Linked DNA regions of Mytilus edulis. The protein of the gene in region 3 purifies or fractionates together with the protein of the main gene of each other region. This does not show direct contact. Links are inferred from orthologs where the notes say so. Each region holds a gene or a part of one and is shown on either strand. Other genes may lie near its edges. The genes, in order: importin subunit alpha-1-like, exportin-1-like, nuclear cap-binding protein subunit 1-like and THO complex subunit 4-like.

What was found.
Region 1: the proteins of nuclear cap-binding protein subunit 1-like (region 3) and importin subunit alpha-1-like purify together in Homo sapiens (co-immunoprecipitation; 5 studies listed by BioGRID and IntAct, with this or other methods). This does not show direct contact. The link is inferred for Mytilus edulis from reciprocal best matches to the Homo sapiens genes NCBP1 and KPNA2.
Region 2: the proteins of nuclear cap-binding protein subunit 1-like (region 3) and exportin-1-like purify together in Homo sapiens (affinity purification with western blotting; 3 studies listed by BioGRID and IntAct, with this or other methods). This does not show direct contact. The link is inferred for Mytilus edulis from reciprocal best matches to the Homo sapiens genes NCBP1 and XPO1.
Region 4: the proteins of nuclear cap-binding protein subunit 1-like (region 3) and THO complex subunit 4-like purify together in Homo sapiens (affinity purification with western blotting; 6 studies listed by BioGRID and IntAct, with this or other methods). This does not show direct contact. The link is inferred for Mytilus edulis from reciprocal best matches to the Homo sapiens genes NCBP1 and ALYREF.

What each region holds. Positions count from the first base shown.
Region 1 is NC_092353.1:13,692,800-13,700,084, forward strand, and holds the start of importin subunit alpha-1-like, read right to left. Parts: upstream 3,009-7,285; 5' UTR 2,997-3,008; intron 1-2,996. Other genes in the region: uncharacterized protein, read left to right, coding at 6,465-6,656, 7,097-7,256.
Region 2 is NC_092346.1:57,078,417-57,086,113, reverse strand, and holds the start of exportin-1-like, read left to right. Parts: upstream 1-4,674; 5' UTR 4,675-4,782; intron 4,783-7,697. UniProt on the Homo sapiens protein: Mediates the nuclear export of cellular proteins (cargos) bearing a leucine-rich nuclear export signal (NES) and of RNAs.
Region 3 is NC_092347.1:28,672,096-28,679,417, forward strand, and holds the start of nuclear cap-binding protein subunit 1-like, read right to left. Parts: upstream 3,004-7,322; 5' UTR 2,897-3,003; coding exon 2,851-2,896; intron 1,301-2,850; coding exon 1,209-1,300; intron 657-1,208; coding exon 556-656; intron 1-555. UniProt on the Homo sapiens protein: Component of the cap-binding complex (CBC), which binds cotranscriptionally to the 5'-cap of pre-mRNAs and is involved in various processes such as pre-mRNA splicing, translation regulation, nonsense-mediated mRNA decay, RNA-mediated gene silencing (RNAi) by microRNAs (miRNAs) and mRNA export.
Region 4 is NC_092352.1:25,278,551-25,286,189, forward strand, and holds the start of THO complex subunit 4-like, read right to left. Parts: upstream 3,026-7,639; 5' UTR 2,913-3,025; coding exon 2,652-2,912; intron 850-2,651; coding exon 685-849; intron 232-684; coding exon 84-231; intron 1-83. UniProt on the Homo sapiens protein: Functions as an mRNA export adapter; component of the transcription/export (TREX) complex which is thought to couple mRNA transcription, processing and nuclear export, and specifically associates with spliced mRNA and not with unspliced pre-mRNA.

The DNA.
Region 1 (7,285 bases), on a different chromosome or scaffold from region 3:
CACATTTCCGACCTTACATTGATTACGTGCTACGTGTACAATGTTTCGAGTTCTTTCGGAATTATATTCCAGGTAACTCTCTTCAGAGGTCGTCCTTTTTATTTTCTAAATGTTTGTTTGTTTATTATTTTGTACATTTTATTTATTATTGTACCTTTTATTTATTATTGTTCGTTTTATCAGCGTATGGATAACTGGTTTTGGTTATTAGATTTAGTTTAAGATATGTTTCAATATGCATTTTTCATTGTCAACGCACCTTCCTTTGGTTTTAGTGTAACTGTCTAATTAATTTCTATTGGGAGACATTGATTTATTTCAAGTGTTTCTTAACGATTTCCCCAATGTTCCTGTTTCTTTTGAATGCTATTGTAGGTTTTTTATCAAAGAGATTTTTGAACTGTGGGTTGTCTTGAATTAAATGCCAATGTTTTCTTATAATGGTTTGTAAATTTTCCGCATTAGCGTGGTATTGTGTTATGAAAGATATATTATAGTTATCTGTGTTTTTGTTTATGCTTGTTTCTTGGTTTGTTAATTTGTTTAATCTTTCTGTATGGGAAATATTTCTTAATATTTTATTTACAAAAGCGATTTTGTAACCTCTTTGTATTAATTTTTCTGTAAATAAGTTTATTCTTTCATTAAAATTGTCAGGATCAGAGGTATTTCTAAGAATTCGTGTTCCTTCACCTTTAATAAAGGATTTAAAACAACTTTTAGCGTGGTTAGAATTTTGGTGTATATATTGGAATTTTTCAGTTGGTTTTGTGAAACATTTAATATCTAAGATATTTTCTTTTTGAAATCTCTGTCCTTTATACGTTTCTAAGTCTAGAAATTTCAAACTTTGTCTGTCAATTTCATAAGTAAATTGCAGTAGGTTGTGGTTTGTGTTTGCTATTTCGAAAAGAAGTTTAACTTCTTCCGTAGTACCTTGAAATAAAATATATCCATCATCTTTCATACGTTTATGAAATAATATTTTGTTTTTGTGTGGAAAGATGTTTAGAATTTTATTTATATGTTGGTATATAGCTATATCTGAGATTTGAGGACTTGCTACATGGCCTTGGCTAGCTCCTATAATTTGCCTATAACATTTTTTGTTAAAGGTAAATTCGTTATTAAGGAGAATTAAGTTTGCATAAATTATAGGTATATTGATCCAATATCCACCCATTTATAGTATGGATCACATTTCCGACCTTTCGTCTACTCGAAAAATCAAAGATAGAAACTGATACTTTACTGGTGACTTATGATATCACATCCCTTTACACAAATCTAAGATTTAGCGAAATTATTGCCGCTCTAAACAGTGTTACAGGGATATATGAAAACCTAGAATATAACATAATAAAACCCAGTTTTGACTATTTACTACAAATAACAAACTTAATTCTCCTTAATAACGAATTTACCTTTAACAAAAAATGTTATAGGCAAATTATAGGAGCTAGCCAAGGCCATATAGCAAGTCCTCAAATCTCAGATATAGCTATATACCAACATATAAATAAAATTCTAAACATCTTTCCACACAAAAACAAAATATTATTTCATAAACGTATGAAAGATGATGGATATATTTTATTTCAAGGTACTACGGAAGAAGTTAAACTTCTTTTCGAAATAGCAAACACAAACCACAACCTACTGCAATTTACTTATGAAATTGACAGACAAAGTTTGAAATTTCTAGACTTAGAAACGTATAAAGGACAGAGATTTCAAAAAGAAAATATCTTAGATATTAAATGTTTCACAAAACCAACTGAAAAATTCCAATATATACACCAAAATTCTAACCACGCTAAAAGTTGTTTTAAATCCTTTATTAAAGGTGAAGGAATACGAATTCTTAGAAATACCTCTGATCCTGACAATTTTAATGAAAGAATAAACTTATTTACAGAAAAATTAATACAAAGAGGTTACAAAATCGCTTTTGTAAATAAAATATTAAGAAATATTTCCCATACAGAAAGATTAAACAAATTAACAAACCAAGAAACAAGCATAAACAAAAACACAGATAACTATAATATATCTTTCATAACACAATACCACGCTAATGCGGAAAATTTACAAACCATTATAAGAAAACATTGGCATTTAATTCAAGACAACCCACAGTTCAAAAATCTCTTTGATAAAAAACCTACAATAGCATTCAAAAGAAACAGGAACATTGGGGAAATCGTTAAGAAACACTTGAAATAAATCAATGTCTCCCAATAGAAATTAATTAGACAGTTACACTAAAACCAAAGGAAGGTGCGTTGACAATGAAAAATGCATATTGAAACGTATCTTAAACTAAATCTAATAACCAAAACCAGTTATCCATACGCTGATAAAACGAACAAAAATAAATAAAAGGTACAATAATAAATAAAATGTACAAAATAATAAATAAACAAACATTTAGAAAATAAAAATAAAACGGACGACCTCTGAAGAGAGTTACCTGGAATATAATTCCGAAAGAACTCGAAACATTGTACACGTAGCACGTAATCAATGTAAGGTCGGAAATGTGATCCATACTATAAACGGGTGGATATTGGATCAATATACCTATAATTTGTTTTGTTCAATGAAAAGACAGGCATTTGTTCTGTCAAGGGGAGGGGGAGTGGTACTATACACACTTGTACGAACACAAATAATGCATGTAGGAATGGCCATGTTTTCTTTTTTTTTATGTTGCCGTAGTGGGGGGAAAGGGGGGGGGGGGTGTAGTTATATAGAAATTGACTTTCTGTCCTACATAATGTAGGACAGAAAGTCGCAGGACAAAAAGTTCAAACACTTTATAGATTTTGATGAACATTTTCTTGCCACCGAAGATGGTGAAGTAAACAAACACTTGAGTTTTCTTTGATACAGTCCACTCATTTACACTATTTAAATCACCTTTGTTGTGAGTAGATTTCTATTGTCCATTTCAATTAATATGATACAATACAATCATTACCTGAGGTTACTATCTCAAAGATTTCACATGACTTTGTTTATTTTTACACTACATGTACCTGTGGAAAGAAATGAAATTTTTTAGCCATGTTAGCAAAATCCACAAAAGTTTATTTCATTTTAAAATAGAAAATGAATACAACTTCTATGTATCTAGGTGCTGCCAGGCTTTAAATCCTTGTCCGCTGTATGCCCTTTTGCACTTACATCTAAAAATTGGTTTGCCTTAACCAAATGTTATGAAAATAATACACATGGTTTACTACCACAAACACGGATAAAGATTCAATTTTAGTGGCGTCACTTAAGGTTCTTGGCTGCATTTTCACCCCAAATTTACTCCGAGTACAGACAGACCTGTGACCTGGAACAGTTTTAAGGCATAGCATGCCCTAGATAAATATAATTCAAATGCATTGTATGATTTAGAAAATCCATAATTTAAATGGAATTTGCAGTGCACTTTGTTTCGTCCCTGCAGAAGATGATAAAATTAACAAACAGTTGAGTTTTCCTTGATATGGTCCACTCAGGTACACAGTTTAAATGACCAATTATTGTTAGGTATCTACTGTCCATGTCAATCAATACAGCTCACTTCAATTATTACCTGTTGGGAAGTTCTCAAACCTCTTTCCCAACTTAGTTTATTTTGGCACCTTCTCGAGGAATGAAAAAAAGTGCACTGCAAAATCCAGTTAAGTTTTTATTTTTCTAAACCATAATACATATTTGAAATTTATTTATCTAGGGCATGCTATGCCTTAAAACTTTTACAGATGCACAGGTTTGTCTGTACTCAGAATAAAATTTTGAAGTGAAAATTAAAAATAATTTATTTCTGTTCTACAACTTTTATAATTTGCCTTAATTAAATGCTAACATGAGGCAGGCATTACCTGTAAAGGGGATGAAGTCTGTATGAATTATTTTTTTAATTCAAACATGTTAAAAAAAAAAGAAATGGAAGTACAGTGACGTTTCCGATTTTGGTTTTGTTATTAGGGATTTTAGTTGTGAAGTTGTTTAAGTTATGACGTCATATTCAATGTAAACAATGAAACGCTAGGGTAACCTTTTTTCATAACAAACAATTTTTAAAAGTGAATTACAATGTAGTATTGAATTCCTTTCTATATATATTTTACTAGACTGATTAATATATATTTTATTCAAAGTCTCAGGCAAACAAGACGGGAAAAGGGAGTAGATTTCTGTGCAGATGCGGGGATTTAAAAAACTGAAAAAAAATTAACGATTTTGAGTTCATTAGTAAAATGAAAAATTCGGGAAATTTTCCTGATTTTTATTTTTTGATTTTTTTACTGTAACATGTGTAATACATTTAATGTAATAGGTGACATCGTCCCCATATTAAACTTATAGATACGATACTTGTTACCTCATATTACAGATCAAGTTTGCATTTTGGTGATGTAAACCTTCCTAGAGTTATGCCCCTTAACAAATGTAAAAAATGCTGATTTTTTCGATTCCATTCTCTAGCATTAATAAGCCTAAACTAAATGTGATGAAACTTTAACACAATTGCTTATAACCACAAAATACAGATCAAGTTTGAATATTCAGGGTTTTTACTCTTATTGTTCTAGAGTTATGTTCCTTTACAAAATTATAAAAAAATGCTGAATTTTTCGTTTCCATTCTCTAACTTAAGTTTGCCTTAACCAAATTTTATGAAGTTTACACATCATACTTGTTACCACAAAACTCAGATCAAGCACACATTTGGGGAGTGTCACTTTTACAGTCTATCAGTTATGTCCCTTTATAACTTAATATGATATACAAGAGGGATCATGTGTGCCCCATGAGCACATTCCCCATGTATTTTAACATATTTTAAAGATATATATACATTGTATGTCTGAGAAAGGTTCTGATTTAAATAGTACTGGCTAAGAATGAAATCCAAATTTCTTAGTACAGTTGCCAAAATCGGCAGGAATTCAGCCAAATTTAACATCAGGAAACATAGAGGGCAGCTGTCGACAACATAAATATTCAAGTTAGACATGTAATAGTCATTACAAACATTATTGTCAAAGATCTTTTTTTACAAATGTATGGGCTATATGCATGATATGTTTCCTGTCCAAATATTCAACAGCAATTTACCCATTTTCATTGTTTTTGTGTGGAAAATCAAAATGAGTACTATCATTTGACTATTTTTGACGTCATTAATAATACGCAGTAATGTAAATCTGTGACTACAGTCAAGGGTCTAATTAAATAAGTTATCAGAGAAAAATAATATGCCTACATGTGTACATTTTGTACATGTATGTCATTGTATGTTATTACAGAAACTTTCATGAGTTGTCTACTCGTTTTTCCTTAATCTGTAAACTAAGCTTAGTTATTACAAGCATGTAACTTACTATATGAGAGTAAATGAGACACTTGGAATCTTAAACAGTGCCTCATTACAAGCTCTGATCATCATTTCTTACAATGAATTGAAAAACATTGTTATGCATGTCAGAGCAAAGCCTTTAAAGAGATATAGAGAAGCTGTAATAACACCCCTTGGTTATTGCAGGAATATATTTTCAGTAATAACATAGGTGTACTATGCATGATTGGTAAACTATGAGCTGTTATATCTTTGCAAAGATTAGTATACATGAAGAAAATTATAATATCAATAGAACTTAAGAAAAAATTAACAAAATATTAAGGTTGTATACATTGTATTTTCCCTTTGAAACATGTAACATACATATGTTATCACAGGTTTTTGATAATTTAGCCCACAATACATGTAACAACATGTATGTTATTCTCTCTAATAACTTATCTAAGTTAGACCCTTGACTGGACTAAAAGAAGTATTTTCTATCTAGTAAAATTGAGAATGGAAATGGGGAATGTGTCAAAGAGACAACAACCCGACCATAGAACAGACAACAGCAGAAGGTCACCAACAGGTCTTCAATGCAGCGAGAAATTCCTGCACCCAGAGGTGTCCTTCCGCTGGCCTCTAAACAAATATATACATATATATACTAATTCAGTGATAATGAACACCATACTCCAAATTGTACACAAGAAACTAAAATACAGTCACTGTATTATCTATTAATCATTGTAATATTGGTAAATAAATCCCAATTTGATATTTAGACTTAAAAAGGGGGCCATTTAAAGGCCTTATCGACCTACTCCTTTGCTCAGGTAATTTAAAACAAACAATTAGCATTATTATTTATGAGACAAAGTAGTTATTTTCAGTTTGTCTGCATTTAAATTTCAATAATCTTGATAATCTAACTGGATTATAGTAATATAGTGAGAAAGTAGAGAAGCACTAAACATGACTAAAAGGAAAAAATATTTCAGGAATAAATACTCCACAATTGAAAATAAGAGAACATACATGTATATAGTACAAGTCCGCCTCAAACATGGAGAAGAATGCATGTCTAGTATTTGTTTATTTCTGTAATCCATTTTAGTTTATAAACTGCTTAACAAAGATGCCAAAAAGGAAACTTGGAGAAGAAGTTGAACCTGATTCAGCTTCAAAGAGTAAATCAAAGAAAACAACTCCCAAAAGCAGTAAAGAAAAGCCATTAAACAAACAAGAATCTTCATCTAAAAAGAAGAACTATCCCAAAAATATTGATGAAGCTACAAATGTAGAAAAGGTAATTATCAGTACATGTCTCTTCTTATCTATTTTTATGTGCAATATTTTTCCCATCTGAAACTTTTTTGATATTTATTCTCTCATTGAAGTAGAGTGAGAATGTGATGACAGTCATTATAGGCCTTACATCGTTGGGTAAAGATATATAAAATCAAAATTTAAAAAAAGAACTACTGTGCATTTATTATAACTCGCTAGATACAAATTTTCCTGGGTACAGGCGAACCATGAATTTAAATGTTTAACGTATTATAAACTTTGTTTTGGCTTGTAATGCAGAGATTGGCAAATTGACATTTCAGTTTGTTCATGTTGTTTGTAATACTTTTTTTATTAGCTGATAAATTTCTTTACCCCCATTTTTTTTTGCTGATGTCTACTCTCACACACCTAAATGTAAATATAGTAAATAAATCTTCAACAATGAATGTTTTTCAGAGCTTTGAATTCACTGCAAAGTTACCAACTCGTAACAAAAAGGGGGAGCTAGTGTTTGAAGATGTTCCAGAACTACGACCAAATATGACGCCCAAAGAAGTTCTTCAAGCTGGAAGTTTTGGTGGCACATATTTCAGACCAATAAAGTCATCAGCTACAGGTTATTTTAACATGTTTAATGCACTTATT
Region 2 (7,697 bases), on a different chromosome or scaffold from region 3:
AGGTCAACTATATATTTGGTGTATGGAATGATTGTAAGGTTTATATGTCTGTGTGGCAATCATCCGCTGACCATGACCTCATTGGTCAATCTTAAATTTTCCTGAATAAGTTTGTTTCTTTATACTATATTCAATAGGTCAACCAATCAAAAGCATGTACTGATGGCAAGGTGTACATGTCAGTCTGACAGGGTGTATGGAATGATTGTAAGGTTTATATGTCTGTGTGGCAATCATCCACTAACCATGAACTCATTGGTCAATCTTAAATTTTCCTGAATAAGTTTGTTTCTTTATACTATATTCAATAGGTCAACCAATCAAAAGCATGTACTGATTGCAAGGTGTACATGTAAGTCTGACAGGGTTCATGTGACCCTGATCTCATTTTCATGATTCATTGCTCAATCAATTAAGTTTTCCTGGTTAAGTTTGTTTCGAAGATGTGTAATAGGTCAACTCTATTTAAAGCGTATTTGGTATATGGAATGATTGTATTTCCAGTTTGATTTATACTACAAGCTGGATTTATACAGACTTTCAAGGAAGACCATTAAAGAAAATATAATTCGTTCAAACATCAGGCCAACAATGTAAAGAGCTGTAAATTTTCTTTCGCAACTTGTTTTTCCTCGCCGGAATTCCAACTCATGCTACGAAGATATCGTGGCACCAAATCGCCTTGCACTATGCCTGACGCACTGGACCACAGTGCACTCGACCACCTAGGCTCTAAAATAATAAAGTTTTCGGTGGCCAGATGTTTCCTTTCCTCGTCTGTTTTTATCTGGCGTCATAACACAGTACATGATAATCATATATAAGGCATGAAGATGGAATTTTTGCAGATCAGCTGAATGATCTATCCTGAAGAATCTTACAAACTAATGCAGGATGCAGTCACAAAAATAATTATATTATAAGTACGTCTAAACTAGTGACAACTCTGCGGAAGATTTTATACAACTGATCACCAGCAGTGATGGTGATACAAGGCTGAAAATACATTCTGTATAGATAAATCGTCTAAACATCAGTCCAACAATGATAAATCTGTAATATGCTTTCGCTAAATTTTTGTTCTTGCCTCGCCAGGATTCAAACTTATACTACTGAGATATCTTGGCAACAAATCGCCTTGCACTGTGCCCGACGCTCTAGACCACTCGACCAACTATGCTCTACCATGAATAATAAAGCTTTCGGTGGCCGGGCGTTACCATTCCTCGTCAGTTTTTATCTAGCATCGTAACACAGTACATGATAAATAAGGCATGAAGATGGAATCTTTACAGATCAGCTGAATTATCGTAAAGGATCTTACAAAATAATGCAGGATGCAGTCATAGAAATAAGTATATTACAAGTACGTCTGAACCAGTGGCAACTCTACAACAGATTTATCCATCGGATCACCAGCTGTGATGGTGATACAAGGCTGAAAATACATTTTGCATATATAATTCGTCGAAACACCAACCCAGCAATGTTAGATCTTTTAATTTGCTTTCGCAAATTTGTTTTTCTTCCCTCGCCGGGATTCGAACTCATTCTATCGTGGCACCAAATCGCCGTGCACTGTGCCCGACGCGCTAGAGCACTCGACCACCTGGAGCAAGGATGAAGAACTTATACAACTTTATATGATGTCTTTTCTGTTATACATATAGTGTCATATTGCAACCGTTTGCTTTAATTACTATTTTTTAATACTAGTAATATGATTTATTTTCACGTGTGTTATTGTTCTCATATATCGGAATGTTACAGTCACTATAAATGGTTTATTTGTGTTTCCACGTTTCCACTCGGCTTCTTCTTTTCGAAATATTAAAGAAAATCTAAATTAAAAGTATGATTTCTTCAATTCCACTGAAGCACCAACTTAGCGCATGTGGAATTATGTTGATCAAAGATGAAAACAATCACGAGTCTGATAAACATAAAACTTGCAGCAGGAAGAATTCCATCTATGAAAATTCATAAACAACTTTTAAAACAAAAGTCATTGAAGTTCGGCAGCAGCGTAGATACAATTGACGATAGAAACAATTGAGTGCGAGAGAGATTAAAAGCGGGGTCATTTCACCCTGACCCCGTATTTTACTGTCAGTTAGATAATTTTATCATGACAAATTGTATTCCTCTTTTCAAGAAAGACTATTAAAGAAAAGTGATGCACTGGGACTGATCTGTTTAACTTCCGGTATATGATGGGATCAAAGTAAAATGACAGCAATCCAAAAGTAACCCGTACTATACCTTAAGAAATACATCAGATTTAACAAAAAGTGCAAAGTGTAATGACATTCATGACATCAATCCAAAAGTAACCCGAACTATACCTTAAGAAATACATCAAATTCAACAAAAAGTGCAAAGTATAATGACAGCAATCTAAAGGTAACCCGAACTATACCTGAAGTAATGCATTAGATTCAACAAAAGGTGCAAGTTCAAGGTAATAGTAAAATGTCTTTCAAATTATCTTTATATCGGAGAATTTTCAAAAGAAGACATGATGAGAAACAACAACTTGAAACATTTATTCATTTAGACACATGGTAAACTGTGGACGCTTTCCCCTTTTACTAGATTTATAAAAAAAAAACTGTGATACTGCAATTTATAATCTCTACCCAATTCGAGTTTCAGAGCTAAGCCTCGTAATTAAGGATAGATTTAAAAAATTTAATCACAGAAACAGACATGAAAAAATCTGGCCAATATTATACAGAAACAAAAGTGTTCTAACGTCCTGAGTTAAGGAATGCTATGTCACGGTTCGAAACGACAGTCAATAATCATTACAAAATGTTATTATTAAACCTTATAGTGATCTTGGGTAAATTGCATTCAACTCGTCCGTTTGTATGTCTCAGGGGCGGGGTTCCCAACCAGGGACAAAGGGTCCCGGGTTCCAACTATATGTGCCTATTCAAATGCATTGATCGTCAAAAAAAAGGGGGGTTCCAACCCCCGGAACCCTCCCCCTGGATCCGCCAATGTGTCTGTCCGTTCGTCTATTATATACAATTCTAAAGAAAATGAGACAGAACACAGGAACTGTTGAGAAACAGAAAACTTCACAACACAAATAAGTGCTTCATCATCAGAGCTTCCCAGTTGGGAAAAGGGGTGTCGCCTCAGATCAGAGTGCTGCTCTAAACGTGTTGGGACATTTTCTGCGACCCACAGACCTGCCATCAGAATAGAAGGGCATCAAATTAAACTTGTGTTATCTTAATATCGGAAAGCAAGAACACATTAAATCATTGAAGTGAAAATTGGTAAGAATATTTACTAACAAGAACTATCTTTAAAAAAAGATATCCGACGTATTTAAATTTGAGTATATGTTTAAAACTATCATTTTGATAACCCTCAGAAGCACAAAGATACCATTTAAATAACGTTTTCTCTGTTTGTGTTTAGTATTCTCAGTCATCGTATCTTTCTGTTTACATTCACCATGTTCACCAAAACCCCGCGGAAATCTCACATGCGTAGGTGCGTTCTAAAAGTCATGCCGGTACGTTCGTACAACAAAGTTTACATTAAAAATTATATAATTGTCCCGAATAAACAGCTGTCACGGATGGAAAGAGCTATTTGAGAAACAATTATTTTAATAAAAATATAAATCTTTGTAAGATCTAGTTCAAATATTTACAGTTTTTCACTTGCTTTCCATCACGATATAATTAACGAGACGTTTTTTCAAAAACAACCAAATCACCCACCATGACAGCATTTTGTCCAATCACAAAAAGGATTTTCGAGCATGCGTATTCTGTTGCCACAGTTAAGCGTCCTTAAGTTCAAAGGACACACACCGAAACTATACCGACTACGTCGGAAAAAAGCAAGACAAATATTTAGAAAAAGAGTACATTTCAGAATGACAGTCGTCTGTTAATTCTGATTCAAAAGTAGTTGCTCGGATAGAAAAAAAAACGCTACTGTTATACTGTACATTCTACTTTTTGACACTGTTTTAAAACAATTATATCTTTAATACCGTGATGAAGTCTATGATATTATCAAGTTAAAAGTCAGTAATAATCTCATTTATTTTTTTATATTTCAACAAATTTGTAGTACTTGATTGTCCATTATAAGTCTTACTAGAATTTACAAATCTGTCTCAAATATGATCGAAACTTGGCTTAGATAAAAGAACTGAGACAGCAATCGTCAGTCTAGCTTTTTACAAAAGCTATTACTTGCATTTTGATTGAGTGACCGATTTTTGAAATCGAAAGTAAAAGTAGGTCAAATATTGCGTTTGGGAAACTATATTTGATTGGATAAATGATAAAAATTTTCCATTTGAAAATATCACCGTATTTTGCCCAAAAGTGGGAACAAGAAATTTCTTTTATAGTTATCAACTGTCTAAATGTTTTAAATATATATCTATCGACTTTCAAAAATGTGTTATTTCTTAATTAAAAGTAAAATGTATTTTATCCCTGCGAGAGTACAAACCAATCAAAAAGTTGCTAACAAAATATGTGTTTACGTTAATTAATGAGTTAATGAAGTTTTTACTTTGCAACTAAAAATTTATTTAGTCATAATTATTTCTTATATACTATTGAATAATTGCCAGTTTACTATTATTTCGTTATTTTTATCGAAATATTTGTCTAAACTTAAATTACGGATTTTACCGAGAACCAATCTGAATGGCGGTTCTTTGCCAGTTTCAACCGGTTAGTCAATTTTTGATGCTTTCTCACAAGAAGTTGGGTTTGGCCAGAAGAAGAATTAGAAGAGGTAAAATTGGTTTTTAGGGGAAGTTTTTGTATTTCGTTGTTTCATTGTCATGTTCTGAACATTGTCATAGTTTCGTTAAACACGTTTGAAATTTCTCTCATGGAGGCAGCCATATTTGAAGATACAAACAAAAACAAACGGAAGCCTGCTTAGTCATGTGATTCGGGACGTAAAATTCAAACTGTTCAGCGGCAGTGTGGTGGAAAATTCCACTATCATTATGCTCATAAAATTAAGTTAAATGATAATTTTCGTGATTAAAAGTTAATTTCTGAAAATAAAGAAATGATATTATTCAAATTGTTTTCTTATTAGCATAGTTTTTCTTCATCCAAAAAGTTTTCTATTTATGCCTATGGACATGGGTCATTTTCAAAAAATGTCGAATTTTCAGTACACCCATGCTAATTTTTTTTATTTCTAATGGAAATTTCGGTTGAAATGGCTCTAATGAAAGCTTGACGGGTTTGTGATTCAGATCATTAATAATAAACACACCTTACATCTATTTTGATAAGATTAAACTGCATTTAAGTCCGATTTTGGGGGTATTTGTGTGCGTACAGTGTCGGAAAACCACATTTTAAATGATTTATTTCTGATTTTCTGATCGCCTTGATAATTGCAAAAGGAACTTTTAAAGAACGTTAATTATCACTCTAACGAAAAAATAGTAGCTTCTTTATCATTGTATGTAACATATTATCCACAAACTAAATTCAATCAGCATACAGGAGGTTCATGTCTATCCTGTTACCGCTACTTAAATCAGTCAATAAATTATTCTCCCTATGAATATTGAATCAGTCGGTGTTGATTTCAAAAGTGCAAAGTAATCTTTACATTTAAATAGCCTCGTTTCGTGAACGACAGTGTAGAGAAAAGATATTTCAAGACATTTAGTGAAAAAAAAAGAGAACTTTTTTTCATGTCTATGCTGTTACCAACAATTTTGATTAACTACACCAAAAGTATGCTTTTAAAAAGTGCAATAATGTGTTGGTAACCAAATTCACAATAGAAAACCATAATCACTTCACTAAAGGGAGTAGTCATTTCACAACAGCAATCAAAAACGAAGAAATTTGTCTATCCTGTTACTGTGGTTGCTATGGTTACAGTAACAGGATAGACAAAACGTCGTTATTTTTTTATCTTAACATATACATGATATAGGTGCAAAACAAAAGAAATATTTCGTTGTTTGAACTCATCTTAAGTTTATAAAGACGTCTTTATCTTCCCAATTAAGCATTTGCAGGTGCAATATTTATATGGTTAACAGGATAGACCTTTATATAGTGATATATCAGAAACGTACGTTCCTGTTACCAATGAAATAAAGAGAAAAGTAAACTTACTTATGAGGAATTTACCTGATGTTGGGTTTATTTAAAAGAGTGAAAAAATGCTGAACAATATAAATTGCTATCTTAGACTTGCATTACTGGTGGTAATTTTTACAACCTTTGAAAACCAATTTTTAGAGGTATTTTTCAGTACAACCTGGAAAATTGGCAAATAATCTATTATTTTACAGCAGTGGCTGATCCAGGGGGGGGGGTTCCGGGGGTGCACACCCCCCCTTTAGTTTTGCCGATCAATGCATTTGTATCGGGACATATGTTTTGCACCCCCCCTTTGCCCTGGGTGCCCTGGGTTAGCACCCCCCCCCCCCCCCCCCCTTTCGAAAATTCCTGCATCCCCCCCTGTTACAGAATGAATATATATATATAGAAGTTTATTCTCTTGAAAACCATCTAATTGGCTACATAAAACAAGCTTAACATTTTATCTAAACCTTTTCTTAATAACCTAAAATTTCTTTTGAAAATTGTAACAGGATAGACAAAATATTGTACCACCGATCACAAATGTTTCAAGATATTCTTGTTTGACATTAAGATTGCATCTTTTAATATGTTGTTCTTAAAGTACTGTTTGTTTTGATTTGCTTATGTAGTGGGTTGTTTTTAAAAATAACTTCAATGTACAATGTATTAATAAATTTTTCAATTTCAAAATTCATCATTTTTTGAAAATGACCCACGTAAGTACAGGGTTTTTCATAGCTTTTTCTTTCAATCCCTCTTGGGATAATCCATTCATCATCAACAGTCACGTCTCAGTCATTACAGCTGAACAGACGTGCTGGGCCAGCTCTCCTTTACCTGCTATCTTCGATGAGGGTTTACTTTTAGATGATCAACGACTTACTACTTTATTAAATTAGAGAAATTAGATATAATCCTAATAAACTTAATCATCCTTAGAATGAATTGTTCCTATTGTTTTCTGCTTCACGCTCACAGGCTGATTCATTAAAAGAATGATGACTGCCACAGGCTGAATTTCTGCTGAGTTTTTATAAAAACATAAATTTTCTGCTTATGTGAACTACAGGAGTGGCTACGCAGACAAGAACTTGGCCATATTTAAACATCACATAATACATGCAAGGCCAAAGTGGAATTACTCTCTGGATGTCATGTTTTGTTAGCGCTCTCACATGTACCATTCATGCCAACTTTTTATGAAACTTATATCTTGGGTTCAAATTAGCAATTTATGCCCCTAAAAATGTTTATTCTGTAGAAAATATAAATGTTATCACTCTAATGTGTTTGTTCAATTCTTGCCAGAAATTTCAAAGTTTAAATCAGAAATGTATTTGTAAATACATTTCGGATCAAATGTTTTTACTGAGTGATGCCCCTTGGAAATCTAAGTTTGTTTGCTCTGAAGCCTAAGTTTTACAGAATAATGAAAGTGCTTTTTGTTGTTTTTGCCCTGGTACCTAGGATAGATAAAATATGTACAACAGTGATATAGGAACAAGTGTTCTTTTATTCCACTGGAAAAATTAATCCATATAAACTGAACACTGTTTACACTTTGAATACAGAGACTGAGAG
Region 3 (7,322 bases):
AAAATGTATATATTAAGCAGATTGAAACTACGCCTACCTATTGTTTGCTAACATCCAAGCAAACATAATGAAACAACCAAGTTGATCAAAGGTTAGCTTTTGCAAGCTTTTATAGAAGAGCTTTAAGAAATCAGGTGCTTTATCATGTTTATAAGATATGAATATTTTACATTCATTAATTTAGTTCTATAATAATGTCCCACTGGTATATTCCAGGGGCGGATGCAGGAATTTTCGAAAGGGGGGGTGCTAACCCAGGTAACCCAGGGCAAAGGGGGGGGTGCAAAACATATGTCCCGATACAAATGCATTGATCGGCAAAAATAAAGGGGGGGTGCGCACCCCCGGATCCGCCACTGTATTCCTATCCAAACAGAATCCTGTAAGTGAAAACACATCGTTTATTACTAATAAAGAATTCTGCTTGTGTTTGTCAAGATCCTTTTCAATAACTTACATTTTTAAGTATTTTTTACAAGGAATCTATCTAATTTTATAAATACACAATTATACAGAGTTGCATCAAACATGATCAAACTTAACTTCATCACTTACCATTCTACTAAAATTTTAAGGATTTTTGTCTTGTAATTCTGCAAGTCTGCCTCCAGGACACTAGCTAAGCCTTCAAGGTTACTTTCTAAAGAGGATGTACTCTGCAAGACAAAAGTATTGAATATTATTCAAAAGATAATATTATAAACATGATAAAGTTTTAAGTTTAGTAAACATTTTAGCTAGAGCATGGAAGTTTTTTTTTGTGTGTTTCCGTAAGACATTTGGGTAAAGTTTGCAAGCAAATTACACCACCACATTTTACATTTGAACCAAGTCTGACTACCTGGACCATGTGTTATTGGTTTTTTTGTCTATTAGTTGTATAACTGAATTTTGAATGAGTCAAATGTTGATGTGGCCTATTATCATGATTATGCTGTTCTATGTTTATGGTAGTTACATGGTTAACTTATCCATTTTATAACTTAGTATAAACATCGCCATGATTCTATTCCTCTGCTATAGTTTCATGAAAATAAACCAAATTAGAATAACACTCAATGTAAATATTTACAAATAAAATGAATCAAGGACATGCATGAAAAGAATTATTTCTCAGTTATTACTTTCTATTAATCTACCATGATTTAAATATTTAAATAGATTTAAATTGTGCTTTTTGATTTATTTTTTGTTTTATTCTTGTTTACCTTTTCTCCAACTCTAGTTATAAGTGATTCAAGTCTGTCTTCAATGTCAACATTTTCTGATACTCGTCTTCTCTTTCTTACTGAGGAAGGACCTAAACATAAAATCACATAACTTTATTTTTTACACAAAAACAAATTTCTGAACTCTTATCATAACTTGTCAACATGGGCAAGTACTATGTACACCTGCAGATTGAAAAGTACAGTAGCTTTAACCAAAGATGATAAAAGTTGAGATACAGACTTCAGAAAGCTAATTTCCAGAAAGTAAATTATCAATCAAATTAATCTTGTCCCACAAATAATGATTGCCATTGCTTTTCATTAGCAATTTTCTGTATTTCTTCATAGCCTTTCAATTTGGGGGAAAAATACAATGTTTGGCATGCCCTTTTTGAATTATCAATCAGCATGCTTAAGTACCCTTTTCATGATTGGATCCCTGCCCTTTTGAAATCCTCGCTTGAACACTGTAGTGTAGTAGTCTTATTTTTGAGCCACTACATTTTAACAAAAAAACATTTAAAATAAATGGAGAATGATGCCCCAGCTAGCATATAACATTATAAAGGGACATAACTCAAAAACTGTAAAAGTAATGCTTCCAAAATTTGAACCTAAACTGAGATAAGTGGTAATAAGCATTATAAATATATAAACATTTCATTCAATTGAGTTTAGACAAACTTAAGAAAGAGAATGGAAACAAAATATCATGTAAGGTTATAAAGGGACAAAACTGAACAACATTATTCAAAGTGCTTGTAAGCACCGAAGGTAAAGATTGTTTTTATTTTTTTTAATGAACATTGCATTGTATATTAAGCATTGCCATTGGTTATAGTTGATGTAATTGGTAAAATAAATTTTGCAAATTGGAGTTATTTCCTGTGTCCGTAATTGTAGTTGGTTAAAATCAAATTCCTATTTTTCCATTTGTAAAGGAGCATGAATCTAGAACGGATGAAGTGACACCGCAAAACTTGATCTGTATTTTGGAATTCTTATCATTATATATGTTTATGTTTAATAACATTTGGTTGAGGCAAACTACAGTTAGAGAACGGAAACAAAAAAAATCAGTATTTTTTTCATTTGTAAATGGGCATAACTCAACAAAGGTAAATGTGACACCACCAAACTTAATCTTTGTTTTGTGTTAATAAGCATTTTGTATAAGTTTCATAACATTTGGTTGAAGCAAATTAAAGGTAGAGAACAGAAACCAACTTTGGGAGGGACAGACATACAGACGGACTGACGTACAGACGAACAAGGGTAAAACTTAATGCCCTCTCTGCTGCAAAAGGGGGAGGGGGTGTAACAAGTACGAACAAATAATTTGAGAGCAGAGTGGTTTGTATTTAAAAACATTCATTTCAACCAAAAGGTGCACTGTATAAATCTGATTTCACAATATTAAATCCCGAAAGTGCAGATAACAATTTTCCTAATTCTTATTCTAATTGATAAATAAATTTCAATTTGCACCATAACCCGTTCTTTATGCGAAGCAGGGCTGGATAATTTAATATAAATAAAAACCGCTCTGCTCTCACTGACACATTATTTGGTCGTATTTGTTGTAAGTTTTATTTCGTGCACGTAAAGACAACTACTAATGGAAAGATATATTACTCACCATCTTCTTCGTCACTATAAGAGTCGTGTCGTCTACGACTTGACATTTTAAACGTCGATTTTTGAAACGCAAGATTTTCACGCTACTTTTTGTTTCCCCGGAAGTTGATCTTGCGCTTACTTCCGCCTTGCAGCTTAGAACCGAAAAATAGAGGATACTAACGTACTAAAAGTTTACGTGAACCATAAAACCATCATAAATCGGACCAATTTGATACACCTCAAACTTACAATAATTTCAAACCCGAAATGAATATTTCGGTATATCTTAGCGAATAAAAAGTTTGATTTAAGGAAGATAATAATATATGCGCGTGACTATAAAAAAATCAAACTGAATAAAACATGTATAAATAAAAGTGGCCCATTCATTAATAAATCTACATCCTACAAACATTTCATAAACAAAATATAGTAGACCTATTGCATACAATATAAGATCAAATGCTTCGACGAGCGCAGCCTGATACGACCACAGAGGTCGAACAATGAACAATGGGGCAAATTTGGACACACTATTCAAGCTTGATACTGTCTAAACTTAAATTGACAATTTGTGATACCTTTTTGACATAATACCGGTATCTATATATAGGTGTCTGACACAAGATAAACGTGGTCAAGGATCTTACAAATTTGTTGTGCAATATTGTGCAATTGAAGATATCTTCTTGAAACTTTCCGAAAAAAAATAATTTGAAAAACTTGAAATATCGGAACCCCTCAATAAAAACAACGTTTTGAATCCCCCCATGGAGCAATTACTCCCAAAATTCATTTCAGCTTTTCCTTTGTAATACGGAACCTTGTATTACAATCTTAGAGAGATCCATACACTAAAGCACAATTAAGTTACTCTCTGGACTAGAAATTTGCTTGTTTTTCACCCTTTTTCCTGCGTGTTTGGGTAAACAACCCCGAAATCAATTAAAATCTTCCTTTTAAGATATGAAACCTTGTGGTACAATGTCAGAGAGATCCAAACACTGACAAAAAAATTAGTCTGGAAACTAAATAACAAGGGGGCATTTTTCGGGTGTTTTTGATCTTGGGATTTTCGGGATCGACCCTTTCGGGATCCGGGATTTTTTTTTAAATTCGGGACCTCGGGTTTTCATGGTTTTAAGCCGGGATTTCGGGATCAGGACCCCTCCTACCCCCCTCAGCCCCCCCCCCCCCCAAAAAAAAATATGCTTGTATTTGGCCCTTTAAAATTCCTAATAACCCCAAAATAAATCCAAACCTTCTTCTTGTGGTATTATTTATCATTTTTTACCTGGGAGGGGGTCTTGTCATTTGAAATTAAACATACGAATTTTTTTGATCCCCCCATAATGTTTCACTATTTTTATTTGATCCCCTCAGTAAAATCATTAAAAAAAATCGATCCCCCCACTATCAAACAAAATTTTCTCCTTTCAAACACTTCACGAAAATATTGAAAATGAAATGTTCTCAGTGGATTTAGTTCAAAATCATAATTAAGAGAAAATTATCTTGGAATATTGTTTTTCCATGACGCCTCTTAATTCCATAAATATAAGTACCTGAAGTAGGTAGAAGCCAGTGCTCTGAGTAGTTTTTCTGACTTTTTTCTAATTTCCTATATCATTGTATTTTGTGCTAATCTATTGACCCTACGTAACTGTAAAAAATAACTTTTTGAAACAGTAACAACGCATTTTTACTGAGAGGAATCCATTATATGTCCCTCTCTTGAACGCTTCTTAAACTAAAGTTTTACGCAAAGTCTTATTGAAATCTCAATTGAGTCGCTAAACTTTTATATAAATATGGATAGTTCATGCTTTCAGCTTGAACAATTTATTTACTCATTTATTGTCACATTTCATTTATAAATGTGTGAAAGTACCATTAAAATTTTGATTTATTAGCCTAAAAGTACACATTTTCAGGAAGTTAGAGGTAAAATTGACCCCAAGAGATCTTATAATGAAAACAAAAAGATACACAAAGTATTTTTGTGATTTTACTTTTTACTGGTGTTCATCATTTCAGAAACATCTTGCTTATCAATATTCAAATGCAAAGTAGATGAATATTTAATAATTTATTGGAGAATTTATTTCTCCACTCATGATGCTGTATGGTTTGTATTTTGGGAAAAAAATTGCATAAATCGCTGTAGATTTCGTTTCGTTTATACTAAATTTCTTTCCAACTATTAAGCTGATTAAAAATAAACTTGGCAGTAACGCTTGTTAATTTAGTGATCAAAGTGAGTGAAATACATGTATAACGACTTGATTATTCGGATTATGAAGCACCTATGCAGCTTCCTACATCACTAAAGTCTTTATGAATGATGTTAAAAATATGTTTTGATTTGATTGTTGTAATGTTCATCTTTAAATTTTATCTCTTGAAGTATGTGAAATGCTGATTTCTATGTTTAAAAAAATGACCCCCCACTTTGAATTTATAAAAAAATTGAACCCCCCTTTTCCACATACAGAAAAAAACTTGATCCCCCCTGTATTTTGACCAGCCCCCCTCCCAGATAAAAAAAAAAGTCCCTAAACATTGTGGTACAATTTCAGAGCAATCAAAATACTTTACACAAGTTATTAGCCTGAAACAAGAGAAATGCTTGTTTTGGACCCTCAATTCCTAAAAAGTTGGACCGTCATCTCCAACCTACCCTTTGTGGAATTGAACTTTCTTTTTAAAAAAATGCTTCGGTGAGCGCAGCCTGATACGACAGCAGAGGTCGAACTCTGAACAGTTGTGGCAAATTGGATAAAATATTCAAGCTCGATACTGTCTGAATTTTGATTGTGATCAATTTTTTTGACATAATATAGGTTTCTGAAACAAAATAAATGTGGCCAAAGATCTTACAAATCTATTGTGCAATCGAAGATTTCTTATTGAAACTTTTCCAAAATTTGAAATTGTTTAAAAAAAATATGAATTCCTTAAAAAAAATGAAAAAAAATCCCCCCTCCAACTTTTGGAATACCCTTGGAGCAATACTCTAGGACTCAATCCAATTCTTTCCTTTGTGGTATGGAACCTTATAGTACAATTTCAGAGAGATCCCATACACTTAAACACAAGCAATTGTTTGGAAACTAGAAGAAAAAAATGCTTGTTTTTGGCTTCTAATTCCTACATGATTAGAGCAATTACCACCCAACTCAATCCCAGCCTACCCTTTGTGAATGGAACCTTGTGGTACAATTACAGAGAGATCAATACACTTTCACAGAAGTTATTGTCCGGAAAAAAAATGTTATTTTGGCCCCTTTTAGGCCATTATTTCCTTAACTGTTAGCCCCCTAACCCCTTATGTGAATCCCAACCTTCTACTTGTTGTATTAAACATTGTGGTACAATTTCAGAGAAATCGTAATACTTATACAGTAATCCCAACCTTCCTTTGTGGTATTGAACCTTCTTTTAAAATCATAGAGATCCATTCACCGTTTAATAAAATAAAGTTATTGCTAATAACTCCTTAAGGGGTCAACTGACCATTTTGGCCATGTTGACTTCTTTGGAGATCTTACTTTGCTGAACATTATTGCTGTTTACAGTTTATCTCTATCTATAATAAAATTCAAAATACTAACCAAAAACGGCTAAATTTCCTTAAAAATTACCAATTGAAGGGCAGCAACGCAACAATCGGTTGTCTAATTCATCTGAAAATTTCAGGGCAGATAGATGTTGACTTGATAAACAACAAAACAACATGTCAGATTTGCTCTAAATGCTTTGGTTTCATAGTTATAAGCCAAAATCTACATTTTACCCCTATGTTCTATTTTTAGCCATGGCGGCCATCTTGGTTGGTTGTCTGGGTCACCGCACACATTTATTAAACTAGATACCACAATGCTTATTGTTGCCAAGTATGGTTAAATTTGGCACAGTAGTATCAGAGGAGAAGATTTTTGTAAAAGATAACAAAAATTTACTAAAAATTGGTAAAAAATGACTATAAAGGGCAATAACTCCTTAAGGGTCAACTGACCATTTTGGTCACATGACTAATTTGTAGATCTGGCTTTGCTGAACATTATTGCTTTTTACAGTTTATCTATATCTTTGATAACCAAACATGGCAAATTTCCTCAAAAATTGACAATCCAGGGGCATCACCCAACAACCGGTTGTCTGATTCGTCTCAGGGCAGATAGATCTTGACTTGATTCACAATTCAACCTCCTGTCAAATTTGCTCTAAATGCTTCAGTTTTAGGGTTATAAGTCAAAATCTACATTTTACCCCTATGTTCTATTTTTAGCCACGGCAGCCATCACGGTTGGTTGACCGGGTCACCGGACACATTTTTTAAACTAGATACCCCAATGAAGATTGTGGCCAAGTTTGGTTAAATTTGGCCCTGTAGTTTCAGAGGAGAAGATTTTTGTAAAAGTTAACGACAACAGACGCCAAGTGATGAGGCCTTTTAGGCCAGGTGAGCTAAAAAGTGCTTGCCCCGCC
Region 4 (7,639 bases), on a different chromosome or scaffold from region 3:
TGGAACAGTAGAAATTACCTAACTATTTGATACCAGATAAAAAGATGTTATGTAACAACATGTATATATTCATTGACTATTACCATCTAAAGGAACATTATTATATTGTTTCATGGCTTTTGCAGCATCTGAATTTCTCTCATATATCACTTCTGCTGTGCCTAAAGATCTTCCAGATCTGTCATAGTGTATAGCTGCCTTCTTCAATGGACCAAATTCTGCAAACAGTTCCTGAAGAAAAAAATTAAAATGCAAGCATGCTTAAATGTACTCAAATTGAGCAGTTATGATCATATTTTCTAACTGGTTCTTTTGTTAAAACATCTATTATATGATTCAAGGTAATATGTCTATCATTTTGTTTTTCTTCATGTCTTAAGATTTTATGAACAAAACTATGCCACCTTTAATTTAGTAATATTTATAATGATTTTGTTTAAAATACATATTCGTGTAATCTTAAAACTTGTATTAATACATTGAAATATAAAATACAAATGTAATTCCTCACTGGTAAGATTTTATTCAAATATCTGCATGTTTTGAAAATTAAGAATACAAGATAACAAGACTATCTGCATTTTGTACATGTATGTATTAAATGTTTCTTTTCCTATATTTCAAACTCCTACATAAAAGCAAAAGAACTAGGAACAACATGAAAATCTTATTAAATTGAAGTACCTGTATATCAGAATCATTGACCCCAAAGTCTAAATTGGATATATGTAGTTTACTTGTGCTGCCACCACCCCCAACAGCAGCTCCTCCTCCTCTACCCCTCTTCATTGTACCAACATCTCCGTCAAACATATCATGCTTCCATACATCATCTGGTGTGTCTTTAGACTAAACAAATGGAAAAACAAATCCTATTAATTTTTATGCATCAATCACGTTTCATGGTGTTACATTCTAGATTACTTGTTTAACTTAACTGGCATCAGCATGTATAAACAGATACAAAAGGCTGTCAAAAAGTCAGCAAAAAAGTGGGTTTTTTTTATACAATTTCAGGCAAATATGCTGGTTATTAGACAAATATTCAACAGTCCTATCAACATGATAAACAAATAATATATAGAGTCCAGAACTTGATGTCAAAATCATAGTTATTGTGTCTGGCAACTTAGTCTTTAATTCATCAATTCACAATTTATCATGTAAATTATATATACAATATATACAATTGTAAATGTAGAAAACCATGAAATAATTTTAGAACATTGTGTATTTGTGCATACTTTTTCAGAACAAGCAGTCTTCACGTCAATATTTTAAATCTACAGGCCTGAAGCTGAGTCTTATAAAATTTTTAGCTATATTCTATTGGCGTGTAGAGATATTTTTGACAGGCAAGACAGCATTTTTACAAGCCTAGGCTGGTGAGCCTACATATATGGTTGAGCCTGAAGACTGATCATGAAATAAATAACAGATATATCATATGTAGTATGAAAAATCACAAGGTACATGTAGCTAACAAAAAGTGTTTAATTCAACCTATATTTTCTAACATTCCCTTGCATTTCCCATGATTAAACATGTACACACATCAATCTGCTGGTAATTTATTTATCTTTACAACAATATAACATGTTTCATGAACTTTGTACAAGTATAGATAGTAAATCCCCCATTCACAGAACACAATTGTCTGTGATCTAACAAAAAATAATACTACATATATTTATAGATTATTGTTGATTATCTCAACAAGATTGATTTTCTCGCTTGAGCCGAAAAGACGAAAGCAAAAAAAGCAATCGAGTTGAGATGACCAATGATGATCTGTTTATCGCTATTTTACCTATGACAACGTTTTCAATTTCATTAGCAACGCCACATGCCTCCTTTATTTCTAGCGATAATTTTCCATCTCAGGCGAGTAGCATGATATGAAAAATTATCACATAAAAAGATCAAACAAAAATGCACAAAATAGCGATAAGATGGTTTATAATACACCTTATTATGGCTATTTATCCGCCATTACTCAAAACTGGACATCACACAGGTTCCTGTAAAATTTTGAAACAATACAAATATCTGACGCCACAATGGAATTTAAGTGATTTTCATTTTTGTATGAAGCCATAGTTCAAATGGGACAGATTTTCATGTCAGCCAGGCTTAACGATAAGGTGTATTTATATTCCTCAAATTAATGAGCATGTTGATAATAATCATAAACAAGAATGTGTCCTCAGTACACGAATGCCCCACTCGCACTATCATTTTCTATGTTCAGTGGACCGTGAAAGTGGGGTAAAATCTCTAATTTGGCATTAAAATTAGAAAGATCATATCATAGGGAACATGTGTACCAAGTTTGAAGTCGATTGGACTTCAACTTCATCAAAAACTACCTCGACCAAAAACTTTAACCTGAAGCGGGACAGACGGACGAACGAACGGACGGACGCACAGACCAGAAAACATAATGCCCCTCTACTATCGTAGGTGGGGCATAAAAAATTAGTGAATTGGACAAAAACTACTCTTAAGTAATGATAACCTGTGCAGTTGCAAAAGTTTTAAGGCCTAGCATCCACAAATTATATTAAGAAATAGACAAAATAATGAAATGAAATTATGTACACAACAAAAACAAAGACTGGTCTGATGTCGACATCATTTTTGAAGTTTACCCGGGAAAAGCTTTGTCTTCCTCCACCACCACTGGTTCTTCTTTTCTGAATGCCGCCACGAAACACTCCTCCTCCACCGCCGCCTCGATTCTGTCGGCCCCCAAAGCCTCCTCCCCCGCGTCTACCTCTTGTTGCACCACCGGCACCACCGCCGCCGGAACCGCGTCCCCTCCTTTGACCGCCTCCTCTACCACGACCTCCTTTTTTGGTTGACTTGATTATATCATCTAAACTCATGTCCATTTTGTCTCCCATTGTCATAACCTTTGTAGAAATACGTTGTTCAATCAATATCTACCGGCTTTGTTGGTGTTCTCGTGTTCTCTGTTTAGTGAAAATGGCGGCATACGAGTGGTGCACGATGGGATAGGGAATTTTATAATAAGATTGTCTCCCCTTGCTTTTGAAAAAAAATAAGTGCGGGTTGGATCTTGCCTCGATCACAGGGGCACATGAATCTTATGTTAAAATGTACTATGCCTTACGCCCAACAAAAAACTCGAAGAATGCCTAGTCTTTTTCTTGTAAATATGGCGTATATGTACTGTAAAAGATAAAAAAAAAAAAAAAAGAATTAGATTATATAAATTTTATGAGCCAATGTTGGACCCCGAGGGGCATAAAGATTAGAATGTAGGACAGAAAGTCACAGGACAAAAAGTCACAGACAAAAAGTCACGGACAAAAAGTCACAGGACAAAAAGTTACAATTCATATTTTCTTTGAATAAAAAACCCTTATTTCTACAAAAATATTTTTGTATTTTTCTTGAACTATTGTATATAAACCAACTTTGTAAACAAAATTTTTCATTTAAGATGATCAAATAATTGTTAAAAAAAACATATTGTCAACGTTGCTTTGCACTTAAATGGCTTCATGGTGCCAAGAAATATATCTTTTGCATGATTAAAATTAAATAAATCTTCATTTTTCAAGTATAATGACACATTTCCTCAACTTTAGTATGCATATTTCAAAATATTCTCTTATATATCCAAGCAATTGTCAGCAAATTATTTGTGACTTTTTGTCCTGTGACTATTTGTCCTACCTAATTTGTGACTTTATGTCCTGTGACTTTTTGTCCTGTGACTTTCTGTCCGTTTACCAAAGAGAATACAGAGAAAGAAAATCCAATAAATAACAGATTACAAACCAAATAACAGACACAAATATACAATATATATAATCCTTATAATGATATACCTTTTTTAAGATGTTAAAGCCGGGGGAAATACACCAAAAAATATTGTAATGTACTATGTGTGTGCATATAGTATTGCAATCTATACAAATCAATGCATAAAATTAATTGTTTATGTTAATTATTAGGACAAAACAATAGTTTTGTTCTTTTATCAAAGCTCTTTATTGTATTGTATATATGGCGTATAACTGATATATAGACTAGAGTATAGAAATGCAAGTTAAGGTTGTTCCTCTGCCGGTCAGACTTTTTATATTTCGAAGTTTTTATCTCTGTGTTTTTTTCAGGATTCTAATCTACCATTACCGTATAAGTTTGTTTTTTTTTTTATCATATTGTTAATTTAATCTAATCTAAATGTAATTCAATTACTTTAAAATTACAAATTCACTTGTCATAAAAAAAAAAAGGAATTGAGTGTTATACAAACTAATTAGTGTTTTCAAAGACATATATACGCCTCTGGTGTTTTTTTAGTGACAGGTGTCAATTATCAGTCAATCAACTCATTTCTAAAACTTTAATCTCTAAATATCTTTGTTAGGTTTTTCAATGACTATACTTGTATACGAACATAACTGCAATAGCTGCAAAAAAATAAATCAAACTGACAATATTATTGTAATATATATGTATGCTTATTAAATGGTAGAAGTATCAATTAAAGTTAGATGTAAAAAATATTAGTTTTACAAAAGTTTGAATTTACACTTAATTAATATTATTTAACTAGACAATGTTTTTTCTTCTTCAAATTAAATATTTTTTGAAAAAAAGTATACAGTAGGTCCTTATTATTTTTGAAATTTGTAGCAATAGAAAAACTATCCGAAAGAGGTACTGCTAAAGTGCTATGTAATGCATAAATCATCAATTTCACAAGGAAGCTATTAAAGTTCCAAGTGTAAGAGAGAAACAATGGGAGTATCAACACTCAAAGTTACGGGAGGAACAATAGACAGCAGCAAACATGGCAAAGGAAAGATAGAAAAACTGCATGTACAATTTCAATCAGTATTTATAATGGAAGACTGAAATCATAACTGAAAATGAAACACCAGAAATACCAAATCTACACATCAGTACAGATCTCGAGGTCTTAACCAAACTACTTAAGGGAGTATACCAAAGCATGGCAACTGGTCCAGACAACATATCATACAGAATATTGAAAGAGTGTGCAGAGTCAATATCAAAATATTTACAGCTTATCTTCACCAAAACATTAAAAGATCATAGTGTACCACAGGACTGCCTATAGTTGCAAATGTCACTGCACTTTTCAATAAAGGGAATAAGAGTATCATTGACGTCAGTTCCATGTAAAGTAATGGAACATGTCATATTCAACCACATCATGATGAACCATCTTGACAAGCATAATATACTTGTGCAATTCCAACGTGGCTTCAGAAGCAAAAGATTGCTTGAGTCGCAACCAGTAATTACAGCAGAGGACATAACTGGCAACCTTGCATCAAATGGTATCAAGGCCAGGGGAAACATACCTGGTTATAGAAGCATGGTTGACACAAAGAGAACAACAAGTCACACTGGAAGGGGAAAGTTCAAGTACTACTAAAGTAACACCCGGCGTACCACAGGAAACAGTTTAAGGACCACTGATGATTTCTCCTATACATAAACGACATAGCAAAACGAAATAACATTAAAGATTCGCCTATTCGAAGACGATAAATTAACGTACCTAGCGATATCATCAAAGGACGACTGTAAAAAATTACAAGAAGATCTTGACAAAATGGTAAAGTGGACCAAATGATCTCTCAAAATGTTATGTCATTACAATTACCAAAAAGAGAAAAACATCCATTTCAACCTCAACATCAATTGACATGTTCTTGGCATGATCAGGCGCATCAAACCAATACCTTGGAGCTAAACTTACCAACACAATGTCATGCATGGGGAAAAGATGTCAATAACGGAAACAGAGTACTAGGCTTCATACGAAGAAAGGTTGGGTCATGTCCAGAGGAAGTCAAGAAACAAGCCTATCTTGCTCTTGTCCGACATCACCTTTAATACGCTTGCAGCTACTCAAGAGAGCCTGGAACAGTTACAACACTTTTAGAATTGAACCCGAAACCACTAGAAACCAGAAGAAGAATTATAGCACGTACAACGCTCTTTCATAAAGCCATCCGTGAAAAGGTTATTGTACCTATGCCATCCCATTTTAAAACCAAGAAGAACTTCGAGATATTAAAAGATACGTACAAATCAGATCAAATAGATCGATATTTACATGTACAGCTTTCTTCCCTGGGCCACCAGAGACTGGAATAAACTACAAGTCTAACTTTACTAGAGATTGAGAGCATGCAGTGGGGAATTATAGTCCAAACTCACCAAGCTTCTCTGTAATGGCTAACCAACACCAACAAAAGATAGATGATATTTATAACCAGCACCTGTACATAATTTTGAGCACAATTTGGAACTATTGTATATTAAATATCATATACAATTTTTTCGTCATGTAGGAAGACGTCAAACTTAACTTGATACTTGTGTGATGGGTCGAAGAGCCTTTTTCGAGTGACGACAGAGCTGCAAGATGTAGATGTATAGATGTAGATAAACAGATAACTGGTTGAAATAATTCTTACGTTTTACGGATGACATCATGAGTTGGTTAACCGTCATGGAATATATCCGTTTCACATATGATAGTGGATATATGTTAATTCTAAATGGTGTTACTACAATCCCGTCCCCTTTTCGCCGAGTGTGACAATATAATCCAACAATCATAGTTCTTGGGATTATATATATTCATTTGTTGTCACGGGTTGATACGAATGTGATGTTGAAAAAGCCACAGTTTCTCTTATAGTTGTGGTCAGCCTGTTAACTATTCATTGCAAACAGCGATATATTTCATTTCACACACCTATAATAAGGTGTGAATTGAGAATAATGGGTAAAAAGTGCAGAATAAAGGCCAAACAAATAAAAAGATTAAAGAGAAAATCGCCCAAAAAAAACAACAGAAAAGAGAATAATAGAGTGCTAAAATATAAAGAATAGTGAATATTGGAGTGCTAAAATTTAAAGAACACCGAGAGAATAAGGGACAAACCATATAATATAAAGAATAGAGAAAAGGGCCATAACGAATTTTAAAGAATACAGAATTGAATGAACCCCACCTTCCTTTAAGTGTGATACGAAAAATGCAATTTATTTAGTTGATTACTCTAGCACCTTATTTATATGTTACGAATGTGAATGCATTTTGTAACTTATGTTGTCATTGTGTTCCGTTGGGGACTTAAAACTAAAAATCAGAGGTTTCTAGTTGTGTAAATTACCACCATATGATGTGAATACAACCATTCACATCACCACTTATCATACATCATACTTATTATTATATTATATTGAACTGTATTGTATTGTCTGAATCATGTATAAAATTTTATCTTACCTCCTATTCATTTCAAGGAAGATGATTGATTAAAAGCGTCCGCGTGGAGACCGTGTATATTTCATATTAGGTTAATAGGGAGGCGGGGCTTTTTTCATACACAGTTAGTAGTAGTGTTACGTCCCTTTATATTCCATATTAGGTAAGAAGGGAGGCGGGGCTTATTTCATACACGGTCAGTAGTGGTGTTACGTCCCTTGTTGGAAATAAATTCATAAAACACATTTAAACCTAAGTTGTTATTGTTGGTGTCTGTTTTTGTAGGATTAATGGAAGTAGTTTCTTAATGGTAACAGTACTGAAGACTTGCTCATTTTGATAGGT